Linked DNA regions of Mus musculus. The protein of the gene in region 2 purifies or fractionates together with the protein of the main gene of each other region. This does not show direct contact. Links are inferred from orthologs where the notes say so. Each region holds a gene or a part of one and is shown on either strand. Other genes may lie near its edges.

The links. The genes of interacting proteins can lie anywhere in the genome.
Region 1: the proteins of Cul4a (region 2) and Wdr76 purify together in Homo sapiens (affinity purification with western blotting; 3 studies listed by BioGRID). This does not show direct contact. The link is inferred for Mus musculus from reciprocal best matches to the Homo sapiens genes CUL4A and WDR76.

Annotation. Positions count from the first base shown.
Region 1 is NC_000068.7:121,508,184-121,513,222, forward strand, and holds part of Wdr76 (WD repeat-containing protein 76), read left to right. Parts: intron 1-293; exon of another isoform or gene 294-1,689; coding exon of another isoform or gene 1,690-1,752; intron 1,753-2,355; coding exon of another isoform or gene 2,356-2,586; coding exon 2,587-2,742; intron 2,743-5,039. UniProt on the Homo sapiens protein: Specifically binds 5-hydroxymethylcytosine (5hmC), suggesting that it acts as a specific reader of 5hmC.
Region 2 is NC_000074.6:13,102,448-13,109,653, forward strand, and holds the start of Cul4a (cullin-4A), read left to right. Parts: upstream 1-3,175; 5' UTR 3,176-3,308; coding exon 3,309-3,456; intron 3,457-3,746; coding exon 3,747-3,862; intron 3,863-7,206. Other genes in the region: Pcid2 (PCI domain-containing protein 2), read right to left, coding at 2,328-2,363. UniProt on the Homo sapiens protein: Core component of multiple cullin-RING-based E3 ubiquitin-protein ligase complexes which mediate the ubiquitination of target proteins. As a scaffold protein may contribute to catalysis through positioning of the substrate and the ubiquitin-conjugating enzyme.

The DNA.
Region 1 (5,039 bases), on a different chromosome or scaffold from region 2:
TTTATTTAGAAGCAGGTGGACAGGTAGTCATGTGCAACTTAAACCAGCTTTTTCAGCACTTAGAACCCAAGCAACATGAACTGCTTACTTTCCTTTCTCTCTCTCTCTCTCTCTCTCTCTTTTCCTTTCTTTTCTTTTCTTCCCTTCTTAGATTTATTTATGTTATTTATACAAATACACTGTAGCTGTCACACATACCAGAAGAGGGCATCGGATCCCATTACAGATGGTTGTGAGCCACCATGTAGTTGCTGGGACTTGAACTCAGGACCTTTTGAAGAGCAGTCAGTGCTCTTAACCACTGAGCCATCTCTCCAGCGCCCTCCTTCTTTTCTTTCAGTGCTCCCTTTCTCTTGGCGACTGGAGTTCATGTACTACAGGTTTCCCTTGATTTACCTATATAGCTGATGATGAAGACTGAATTTCTAGCCCACCTGCCTCCACCTCCCAAGTCTGGGGTGACAGGCAGGCGGGATTCACCGTGCTTAGCTGTTCCCTTTATTATGATTGAAAACTGTATAGCAGTGGTGAGGCGTAATTTTCTCATAGTTGTATTGCAAGAAAGTGGGCAGAAGTAACGGCTGAATGTTTCTTGTTGGTGTGCACTCGGGGTGAGTGCACACCTCGGTGGTGGTGGTGGTGGTGGGAGTTCATTTGTGTACATACATGCACATAGAGGTTCAGAGGGCAATCTTGAATGTCCTTCCTCAGGAGCTATCTAACTTTTAAAAATTCTTATTGATATTGTTATTGAGGTGCTCTGGTGCACATATGAAGATCAGAGGACAACAATGAGAAATGGAGAAATGGCCCTTATGGAGGCTCTGGGAGTAAGATAAAGATGCTAGGCTTGGGTGGCAAGCATCCTAACCTGTGCATCATCTCCCTTGTGTTTGAGACAGCGTCTGTTGGACCTGGGCTCTGTGTTCAGGTTAGTCAGTTTGGCCATGGAGCTGCAGAAGTCCACTTGTCTTGCATCACCTGTGCTTGAATTTGGGTGCTGGGAATCAAACACAGGTCCTAATGCCAGCACCTGTGTTATTTCTTTCAAGTTCTGCCTATTGACTTTTATGCTTATTTTTCTTCCAATCCTTATGATATTTATGAGGATATGGATCTTTTCCAGAGGTCATGCTGCAAAACAGCAGTATTTTTAAAAGCAAGATCTCGAGGTGTACAAGGCTCAATATTACAGGATCCAGTGTAAGTGCTGATTTAGATCCTGCACCCCCTCATTCCGGAAGCAGAGCAGTAGGATTACGGGGCTAGCTAGGGTGACATAGAGAGATGTAGCTGGGTTTAAACAAAACAAAACACAGCCGGGTAGATGGCTCACTAGGTAGGTAAGAGCTGTAGCCGCGCAAATTTGAAGCTTGAGATCAAATTCTCAGCACCGGTAAAAGCCCCGGCATTGAGGGGATGGACACAGGCGCATCCTTGGAGCTGGCTTGTGAGCCAGTCCTGCCCGAAAGGTGACCTGCAGGTTCAGACCTAGAAGGTGCAGAGGGGTGAGCTATCCAGAACACAAAACAAAACAGGCGCCAGAAGCCTTAATGGCCCAGGGAATCCACACAGCTCTTCCGTGCTGACCGCGGAGGCTCCTCCCTCGGGCCCGCCCACATCCCTCGGGCCCCGCCCAATCTCGCCTTGGTCGCAGCGGGAAGAGCTCAGCAGCTGAGTGGCAGAAATATGTCTGGGTCCAAGGCTGAATCTGAGGAAAAGGCAGGCTCCAAACAGTGTCCCCTTGTGCAGGTGAGACCTGATTCGGCCCGGGAGGGATCTGCTAGTCACTGTCACCTGGCGCCAAGGAAAAGCTGTGATTTCTGCTTTTTTTTTTTTTTTTTCAAATTTAAACAGACTATTAGGTACTTAAATTTTGAGGAAAATTTACTAACAACTCCAGGAATTATGGTAGGTTTGCCTTTAATCCCGTAACTCACAAGGCAGAAACAGGTGGAAATCTGTTAGAGGCCACCATGTCACTGGTCTACATTGTGAGTTCTAGGCCAACCCCAAGACTGTAGTGTAGGATTGTAGGACTTGGGGCCCTTTCTCCTGGCTCCCCTGCAGTTGTTTTGAAGAGTTAGTGTGAGCTTTAAGCAATTACAACTAACCTGAATCTGACCTTTGTTGTAATCACCTCACACTGAAATTTGCCTTCAGAATTTCTGGTCAGGTTAGAGATTTTTGTATCCAAATTTTGGAGGAGCAAAAAATTTCCTAACAAGCCATCAATTTGAATCATGTGACTGTGGAATAGGAGTTAGACTTGTTTAAGCAGATTTGTTTCATGCTTTGCTATGGAAGAGCATAGTCCGGCGTTCCTAATACTCTTTTCCTTTATTTCCCGAATAGGTGAATGAATATAAAGAAAATGAACATATTGCTTATACTTCTCTGAGACCGATACAGATTACAACTTTAAGGAAAACAGCTAAGGTTTATCTTTACCCGTTTTCACTCAGCAATTCCAAGCTAGGCCTACTTAAGTTGTCCAAATCCCCGGTTGTAAATAATTCTAGCAAATCAGTGGTCCATAAGAAGAAAGATCGGAAGAAGACTCGTAGAAAGGTTTTAACTTCAAAAATGAAGGCCTTATCTTCCAAGGCAGATTCCCTTCTGCTGAAATCATCCGTGGATGCTTATACTGAAAGTACCAGGCTGGGACCCAAGAGGACCTCGGATTCAGCGACTCTCAGTGTGGACGCGGAAAGCAGCGACGAAGACAGTGCACCAGGCCTGGTGAGCCTTCATTAGCTGTTCTACTTCTCATTTTGAAACTAGAAGCTCTGAAAGCTAAGGTAGTGAAGGACCTCCAGCAAAATCTGTTTTATCATCTAATATAAACAGAAAAGACTTTGTGTATCCGTGTGCTTGCGTGTGTCCAAACAGCAGTGCGAATGCATGTATGTGCCTGACACAGGGGTGGGTGGAGGTTATAGCAATCAGAATCAGGTTCTCAGGGATGACAGCAGGCCCCTTTCTGTTAAAATCACTTATTCACCTGATGTAATTGTCCTCTCAGAGACTTACTACCTCCATCTGCTAACCTAGGCCTACACCTGGAAGCTTCCGGTCTCCTTACCATCTAGTCTAGGCCTAGAAAGTTCTTAGCCTGTCAGACTTACTGCTGTAAAAGCTCACCCTTTCTAGTTCTTTCTGAACTTTTCTGGCTCAAACTCTGCTCCCAGCTGACTGCTTCAGTCTGGCTTCTTTCTCAGCCTCTGACTGAAATGTTCTGCTTGGCCTCATTCTAACTTGGCAGTATGCCGTAATCGTCTGGCTCCTTCTCATTCTGTCTTCACCTGAGTCTAGCTTGTTCTCTTCTGCAGCCTGTGTCTCTATGACGGTGTCTGTCGGTAAAGCTGCCTGTTCTCTCTCTGCCCTGCCCCTTGAGTAGGTTCGCCTTCCTTTCTGTTTGCTTGAGAGTTGGGCATATCCTGTTCAGTCAGATCTTTCTCTGATTTGTCACTTTGTCTGCCACTCAATCAGATACCACTTTCAAACTGGGTGCTTCCTTCTAGAAACGGAACTATTTCTTCACTGTCTGGGTTTAAATAAAGGTGTGTGCTTAGGACAGGTCTGCATTCCAACGCGTGTAGCCATGTTGGCTACTGGATTACAATCCCTCTACACCTTTACCTGTTGATTCATCTTGTAAACCTTTTAATTTAGTCTAAATTTACTTTATATTTAATATTATCTTTAACATTTCTTCATGTTGTTCTTCAAAACAGGGTCTCCCTGTGTAGCCCTGGTTGTCCTGCTTGTCTACTCTGTAGACCACACTAGCCTTGAACTCACAGAGATCTCTGTGCCTCTTCATGCCTAATGGTAGGATTAAGATGCTGACCACCATAGCCCACCTTCTATAATATCTTACAGCACTGATGCTATTGGTCTGAAACTGTACATTGAGAACTGTTGGATTAGATTATGTCTTAAGCCAAGACTGTTGGCTGTATGAGCTGATTTTTGTTTGCATATAATAAATAGAAATTACAACTGTATAGATGTTTAAGTGGTGTTATCCCTAAAATAATATATATATATATATATATATATATATATATATATAAACATTGCAGCATTTATTTATCTTTCTGTGGTGCTAGGGCCTCACACATGCTAGAGAAGCACTGTTCTAAGGAGACAGATTTCCAGCCACCTTTTCATGTTCTATTTTGAAACAGGGTCTTACTTTGTTGGCTAGGTTGGCCATGGGACTTTTGATCCTTTTGTGTCATCCTCATTATCTGGGATTGTAGCCCTGTACTCCGGGGTCTGGCTAAGATAACTTAATCAGATGGTTCATTAGTTTGTTCTCTTTACATCATCATTACTGTTTTTTATTGTGGTGCTTGGTATGATTTCACAGACGCATAGGCTGGCCTAGAACTCATCTGTCGGCCCAGGCTCTTGGCAGTTCTCCTGCTTCAGCTTCCAAGTGCTTGGAATTACAGAAATACCAAACCTGACATTCCCGCTTTTCATTATTTTGTAGAATCACCTAGAAATGTATTTTAATAAGTTATAAAGTAAATCCCCCTCTTGTTTCAAGAGCCCCAGTGTGTTCCTGAGATGGTGTCAGGCCTTGGGTGTGCTGTTGGAGGTTGTCTTTCTTGCAATTCATTTTTTGTTCATCTGAGATTTCAGTTTGTAGCTCTTCTATAAGAAGGTGTCTTAGACGAACAGCAAAATATTTTGTGAGAACCTGGGGGTAGTAGCATATAGTTGTAACCACAACATTACAGGGGTGTGACACAGGAGGAATGAGAAGCTAGCCTGGGATAAAGACAGAGTTTTCTTCTTATACTGCCTCCTCCAAGGGATGGTATTTTGTGAGAACCAGGCATAGAAACTTATTTTAAAATGTCTTCTCATTTATATGTGTGAGGATCCCAGAAGAGGGCGTGGAATCTCCTGGAGTTGGAGTTACCAGCAGCTATGAGATAGTCCCAGCTGGCCTTGTTAGTTATGTAGATAGTCACAGCCCCTCTGCAGCCACTCCTTGTCACTTGCGGAATGAAACCTTGTCC
Region 2 (7,206 bases):
CTCTGAGCTATCTCTACAGCCCAGAAATTATTCTTTAACATAAAAAGCAAACAGCAGATACAAATAGAAAGAGGGCCAGGATGTGACTCAATGAATGATAGAGCACTTGCCTAGATGCATAAGACCCTAGCTTCAGTCCCCAGATCCACATAAAAAGAAAATCAATATAGAAAGGAAAACAGAAAAATCATATCCTGGACAACGAAGACGATACCTGGTCTGGGAAAGGGCTCTCAGTGAGGGTAACCCACCTCTACAAAAGGGACTGGAGGACAGGAAGCTCACAGTCCCACATTATCTAGAACAAGAATACATGCAATGTGTAACTCTGGATTGCACTCTGGATTCAAAAAACAAATCCTAAGAAACAATTTGCACACCTAAGCGATCCATCCCATATACAATCACCAAACCCAGACACTTTTGTGGATGCCAACAAATGCTTACTGAAAGAAGACTGTTATAGCTGTCTCCAGAGAGGCCCCACCAGTGCCTGACAAATACAGAGGTGGATCCTCGAAGCTTACCATTGGACTGAGCACAGGATCTCCAACGAAGAAGCTAGAGAAAGGACCTAAGGAGCTGAAGGGGTCTGCAGCCCCATAGGAGGAACAACAATATGAACTAACCAGCAACCCCAGAGCTCCCAGGGACTAAACCACCAAAGAAAACACATGGTGGGACTCATGGCTCCAGCTGCATATGTAGCAGAGGATGGCCTAGTCAGTTATCAATGGGAGGAGAGGCCCTTGGTCCTGTGAAGGCTCTATGGCCCAGTGTAGGGGAAGGCCAGGGCCAGGAAGCCAGTGTGGGTGGGTTGGTGAGCAGGGGGAGAGGGAAAGGGGATGGGAATTTTCAGAAGGGAAACCAGGAAAGAGGACAACATTTGGAATGTAAATAAAGCAAATATCTACTGAAAAACAAAAAAACAAAAAATGTGCAAAACATTGGAAAATTAAAAGTTACATGCATCAGTGTCAAAGTTCTCAGGCTACTAAATGCATTGTGGTTACAGTGAATGTCCTTGTTCTTAGGGCTACGATGTCTGTGATGTTCTTTGGCTGTGGGTTCTGAATTAGAGGTAATTTATTACTGTTAACCTTAGGAAATGGAGTAAAGTTTCCTTCTAGTTTGACCTTGAAGAAAAGTGGACCTCACTCCTTGCTGTAAGGAGTAGACTCCTCAAGCTCCACGTTTCTCTCTTTGAAACATATGCAGGCTCCCCTTGCAGGCCATCAAAACATCACTATGGACTTGGGATAACCCGGAAGCAGCACAAGCATGCTGATGCCATGCCATTCCCTGTGACAGGAAAGAAAGACCTTTATTCCTGGCTCAAGCAGTCACAAGAGTAACAGGCTACTCTTAACCTTATTAACACCGGTAAGGATGGCAAAATTCAACCAACCTGACCCCAACAGCTTCTGGGAAATCAGCACAGGAATCATGGGGAAAGAGAGACAAGCAATTTGTTAACAGGTAGCCACTGGCCAAGGCTATTGCCAGTGTGTTGAAATAAAGACTGGTCTTTTGGCCAACAATGAGATCACTAAGGTTCAAGCGTGATCTCCAGAATTAGCATCTTGCTAAGTGTTAAACATGTGCACTGTAGAGCCAGTCTCTGATGCTTCTGAGCTGGGAAGACTTGGGTTAGCCGCCTACGGAGCTCTTCAAGGAGGGCCTTGTGATGGAATCAAAGAGAATACATATGCACACGCAGCACCGACAATAGTGCCGCTACTTAAGAAGCACACAAGTACTGCTTCTAGTACTGTAGTACCCAAAACTGAGCTGTTTGGGACAGGAAAAGGGGGCTTTGGTAATAGAGCTAAGCGCAAATCCAAGGTTCATAAGCAGCCATGAGCAGCAAGTGTAGTCAGTTAAAACGTTCATCAGTCTTCCCTATCTGGCTGCCCCTTGCACCAGGTGTGTTGCCTAGTGGGATTCACATCTTCAACACCCTAGAAGACGCAATCACGGCCCTCCACCCGGATGCAACAGTGTTTGCCTGTGCCACTCCCAGGCTTTAAGTAAAGCCTTGATGGGCACCGCTGCCAAGAGACACAACGTGCTTCGTGCGGACAGCAGCGCTGACTACACAGACAACCGTTTCTACAAGTGGCCCCGATCTTGCTACCTCCACCTCGGATCCTCCTCCTCCTGGTCCACCGGGCAGCACCTGCAACTTCCGAACAAGGCAGGCTGCCCACCGCGTGCAGCACACCCTCCTCGCCTCGAGGCCAGCCGCAGGACCCCCGGCACCGTCCGACCCGGCCCCAGGACTCACCCCTCGTGGCCCGTAGGCCAGGATACCAAGCGAAACCCACCTGCTGTAGGTACTGGTTAATGGTGATGTGCGCCATAGCGGCGGCCGCGGGTGTTGAGTGCCTCACTTCCGGCGCAGGTCCGTTTCCGCTCCTTGTCCCCACACGGTAACCTCTGCACGTTGGTTCCGGAGCGGGTGAAGGTGGAGCGAGCCGAGCCGAGCCGAGCCGAGCCGGTGGTGAGAGCACTTCTTTGGGGGCAGCTGTCAGCGCGGTCGCCGGGACGCCTCGGGTGCGGCGGGGGCGCGCGCGAGGGCGGAGGACTGACGTGGAGGAGTTCCCAACCGACTTGGGAACGTGTCCCTGGTCACGTCGGTGTGCTAGCGACCCGATTCCTCGCACCCCTCTCCCATGAGGGTGACCCGATCCCCAACCCTCCGTGTGCAGAGGCGCTCCTGACTCTCCCGGAACCAAAGTCCAGAGCCCACTGGGAAGGCGTCCCGCGCACTCCTAGGATGTGTTCCTGAGTCCTCCCACATCTCACACTGGGGCACCCCAGATAAATGGGTGCAGAGCATCCCGTCCCCAACCCCTCGGCGCGCTAGCGCACGGAGCAGCATCCCTGAGCATCCTAGGTGTAAGGTGATCCAGGAGGCAAGGTTGCCGGGTGCTTTTATCCACTCAAGTCCTCGCCGGGGTGTCCTCGTCACGGCCCTCGACGTGACGTGGGGCGGCGAGCTCCGGAGCCCTCGGTGCAGGTGTCACGGCGCCCTCTCGCGAGCATTCGTTGTAGAACGCCTGCGAGTCCCCGAGCCCTCCTTGGGCGGAGTTCGCGCATAGGAGGAGGAGCCGGATCGTTCCGGTGCGCGCCGCGGCGGTTGGGCCTCGGGCGCGCGGACCCGGCCGCGAGCAGAAAGAGGAGGAGCCGAGCGCTCACGGGCGGAGCCCGACAGCAGCAGGAGGAGGAGCCGGGCGCGCACGGAGCGGGCGCAGGGCAGGAGGAGGAGCCGGGCGGCGCGGGGCGGGGCGGCGTCCGGCCCAGCCATGGCGGACGAGGGCCCTCGGAAGGGCAGCGTCTCGGCTCTCATGGGCCGCACCAACGGCCTCACCAAGCCCGCGGCGTTGGCCGGTGGCCCCGCCAAGCCGGGGGGCACGGGAGGCTCCAGGAAGCTGGTCATCAAGAACTTCCGAGGTGGGTGCGCTCCGGTGAGGAGCGAACGGGGCGGCCGGCGGGTCGCGCGCTCGGACAGGGCCTCCTGGGGCTGCCCGGCAGGCCCTGTCCCCGCGCCCCGGCCCGCCTGGTTCCCGCACTGTCCCGTCTCGGCGCCGCAACCCGACTTGTCCCTGCACCTCACGCTCCGCCACGTCCCCGCGCCCCAGCTGGCCCCGATCCCGCACCTCCTGGCTAGCCCGGCCGGGCCCTGCCTCGGTGCCCCGGCCTGTGCTGTCCCCGCGCGGCCGTTGACCCTCTCTCCCCCACAGACAGGCCGCGGCTGCCTGACAACTACACTCAGGACACGTGGCGGAAGCTTCACGAAGCGGTCAAGGCCATCCAGAGCAGCACATCCATCAGGTACAACCTGGAGGAGCTGTACCAGGTGAGCGGCGGCGAGGGCCTGCGAGCACCTGGCTGGGTTCCTCCTCCAGCAGCCACCGGGGCCAACGCTAGGGAGGCCCGCCCGTCCGCCCGCCCGCCCGGGGAGAAGCTGCGGCCCGAGCCTTCCCTAGCGGAAGCCGCGAAACCCTGGGTCAGCAGGTGTTTCTATGGATCGCCGCCCTGGATTAGTGCTGTGTGTTGAGGCTTAGACCAGGCTGCTTAGGAGGTGTACGTTTTCCCAGCGCCAGAAGAAAGGAGGTGTTTGGAGCTAAGAGGCACAGAGCCCCCAGCAGTCTTCAGTGTTATCAGAGTGCCAGTGTGTTATACATGGAACTCAGTACGGCCCCACTTGCTAGTAGGGTCCCTGGGTTGTGACACACACACCCCCTCCCCAACACACACACACTGTTTTGTAGTTTAATTATTGCAAATAAGGTTGCAGACAGATTCTGGTAGGGTTTTTGTTTTGTTTTGTTTTGTTTTTTTTTGAGACAGGGTTTCTCTGTGTTGCTCTGGCTGTCCTGGAACTCACTCTGTAGACCAGGCTGGCCTTGAACTCAGAACTCCACCTGCCTCTGCCTCCCGAGTGCTGGGATTAAAGGTGTGCGCCACCACGCCCGGCGATTCTGGTAGTTTTAACTTAAAGACAAGTTGTGTCTGCAACAGGGGGGGAAAATCATCCGAAGTACATTTTGCTGTTTCAAGCACACTTTTCTGTCATGGTTTTATACAATAACTGCTAAATATTCTGTGTTTTAGTTTGTGATAGAACAAATAATTACTTATATGTTACTTAAAAGTTACCTAAGAGGCTTGTTTTATCCTGGTTACAAACTGAGTGTATTGTAAGTTACAGAAAGCACAAGAAGAAAAGTAAGCAGTGGTACCCGAAGGAACCTGTGGCAGGCCCATCACTCCCAACCCCAAACTCCCAAATCCAAAACTTGTAGTGCACTCATGAAAAAAAGACCCACACCTGACTTCCTCTGCTGGGCCTCAGACAGAACACAGTATATGCTAAAACTGTTGAATAAAATGACCATCGAGCTAGGGCCAGCCAGATGACCCAGTAGGTAAAGCGCTGGCAGAGCCAGCTTGACAACTTGTGTTCGAACCTCAGAACCCTCAAAAAGGTGGAAGGAGAAAACTGACTGGAGACGCATCCCCAGACCTCCAGCCTCTTGACGTGACACAAGCACCCACACATACACTTGGTGTACACACACAATGATAAAACAAGGGATATGGGGTACGAGTCAGCTTTGTGTCTGTTTACACTTGATTCTCAGTACCCAGATACATCATTGTGTATGTGCAAGTATTAATCCGGAAGAAAAACATCTGAAATCCACAACACTAGTAGCCCCAAGCATTCTGGGTAAGGGACCACTGGCCGATGGTGACGGATTGGTGTATATGTGTCTGTTCTTTGTCTTAAGTTTGTGAGTTGATTGTGTATTGAAGGAGAGGATTTTATTTAAGGTTTTGTTTTTGTTTTGTTTAGACAGGGCTCACTGTGTAGCCTTGGCTATTCTAGAACTCACTGTGAACAGTCTGACTTACAGAGATCTTCCTGCCTCTGTCTCTTGGTGCTGGAATTAACATTATGCACTACTACACCCGCCTAAAGATTTGCTTTTATTTTTATTATTTTAAGTATGTGCCTATGTGTAGGTGTGCATATGAATACAGTGTTGGGGGCATGTGACATGTGCTCCAGTAGGTTTATTTTGTTTATTTTATTTTTTTATGAGAAGAGAGAGTCGGTTGGTTTTATTTTTTACGAGATTCACTGTGGGGCTGGAGAGATGGCTCAGCAGTTAAGAATGCTCTTACAGAGGTCCTGAGTTCAATTCCCAGCAACTACATGGTGACTCACAACCATCTGTCATGGGATCTGATGCCTCCTTCTGGTATGTGTGAAGACTGGGACAGTGTACCTTATAACTATGGGGAAAAAAAAAGGTCTCACTGGGTATTAGTCCCGGCTGCCGCTCATGTGCCGGGGCTATAGGTTAACTCTAACATACTTGTCCCAGTAGATTTTAATGGCCTAAGATAGAGTTGTTTGCCAGCCGCTCAGTGAAAATGTAGACTGTTTCCCTCCCCGGTAACGAAGGGCTGCCCCGTGAACTCATCCCCTCCCGTTCCCCAGCTGTGGCAGCTGCTGCCGTGTTCTCTCTACTCCTCCACCTCTATCTAGAAGGAGCAGCGCATTTGCAGTCCTCTGGCATCTGGCTCTTATCTAGAATGGCGTTTGCCATTTCCTCTGGTGCTAACAGTTTGGCATTTTGGTTTGTTTGTTTTTGTTTATTAATGTGTTTAGTATTTGAAATAGAATTCCTTCCATCCCTGTCCTCCTCCTTTCCTCTCTCCATGGCCCCTGGACACCCTCTTTGAAATCCCTCCTTTGTGCCCCCAAGTGCATATTACTTTTATTAACAAGTAGAGTGTCTATAGTGCAGTTGGCTTATTCATCAGGTAGTGGCCGTTTGGGTGTCCAGTGGGAACATGACCAGCAGGGCCGCTATGAACGTTGCATACATCATGTGTGGGAATGTGTTTTCATTCTTCTCAGGAAAGTATCTCAGATACAGAAAATGTGTGCTTCCTTTCATAAGAAGCTGCAGCTCTTCCAAGTGACTCCATTTTCCCCACTGCGGTAGCTTGAGGGTCCTTTACTCCACATTCTCACCAGCATTTGGTGCCGTCGAGTTTTACAAACGGGTTTAATTTACCGTCCCTGTTGACGGCAGGTGTCTGTCTGTTTGTGTGCCTGTTGCTCTTCTATACTTTTGATGCAGTTTGCTGCTCAGATCTGCTGGCTCCCTGCCTCCTCCTGCCATCCCCTCTCCCTGCTTCCCTCTTATCTCACTGTGTAGCTTGCTCTGCCTGCAAACTTGGAGTCCTCCTGTGCCAACCTCCCAAGTGCTGGGATTACAGATATGGGCCAGGGTGCTCAGCTTCATCTGCTTAGATTATTTTCCCGTTATTGAATGTGTGAGTTTAGTATGTATTCCGGATATAAGTTCTATATAGGTGTTGCTAGTATTTTCTTCTAGCCCATAGCTTATCCCTTAACTAATCTATGTCCTTTGAAGAACAGTGATTTAAATTTTGAAGTTAAGTGTCTTATCAGCTGTTCTTTTAGGTTATGTTTTTAGTATCCCCCTAAAAAATAAAAACTAAACTTTTGCCATAACTGGTAGTAATAGCACACTTATGTAACCCCAGCACTCAGCAGGCAGAGAAGAGTTCAAGGCCAGCCTCCTCTACTAGCCAGCTCAAGGCCAGCTACATGAAACCCTGTCTCAAAAACAACAAAGCAACAGATCTTTGTCCTAA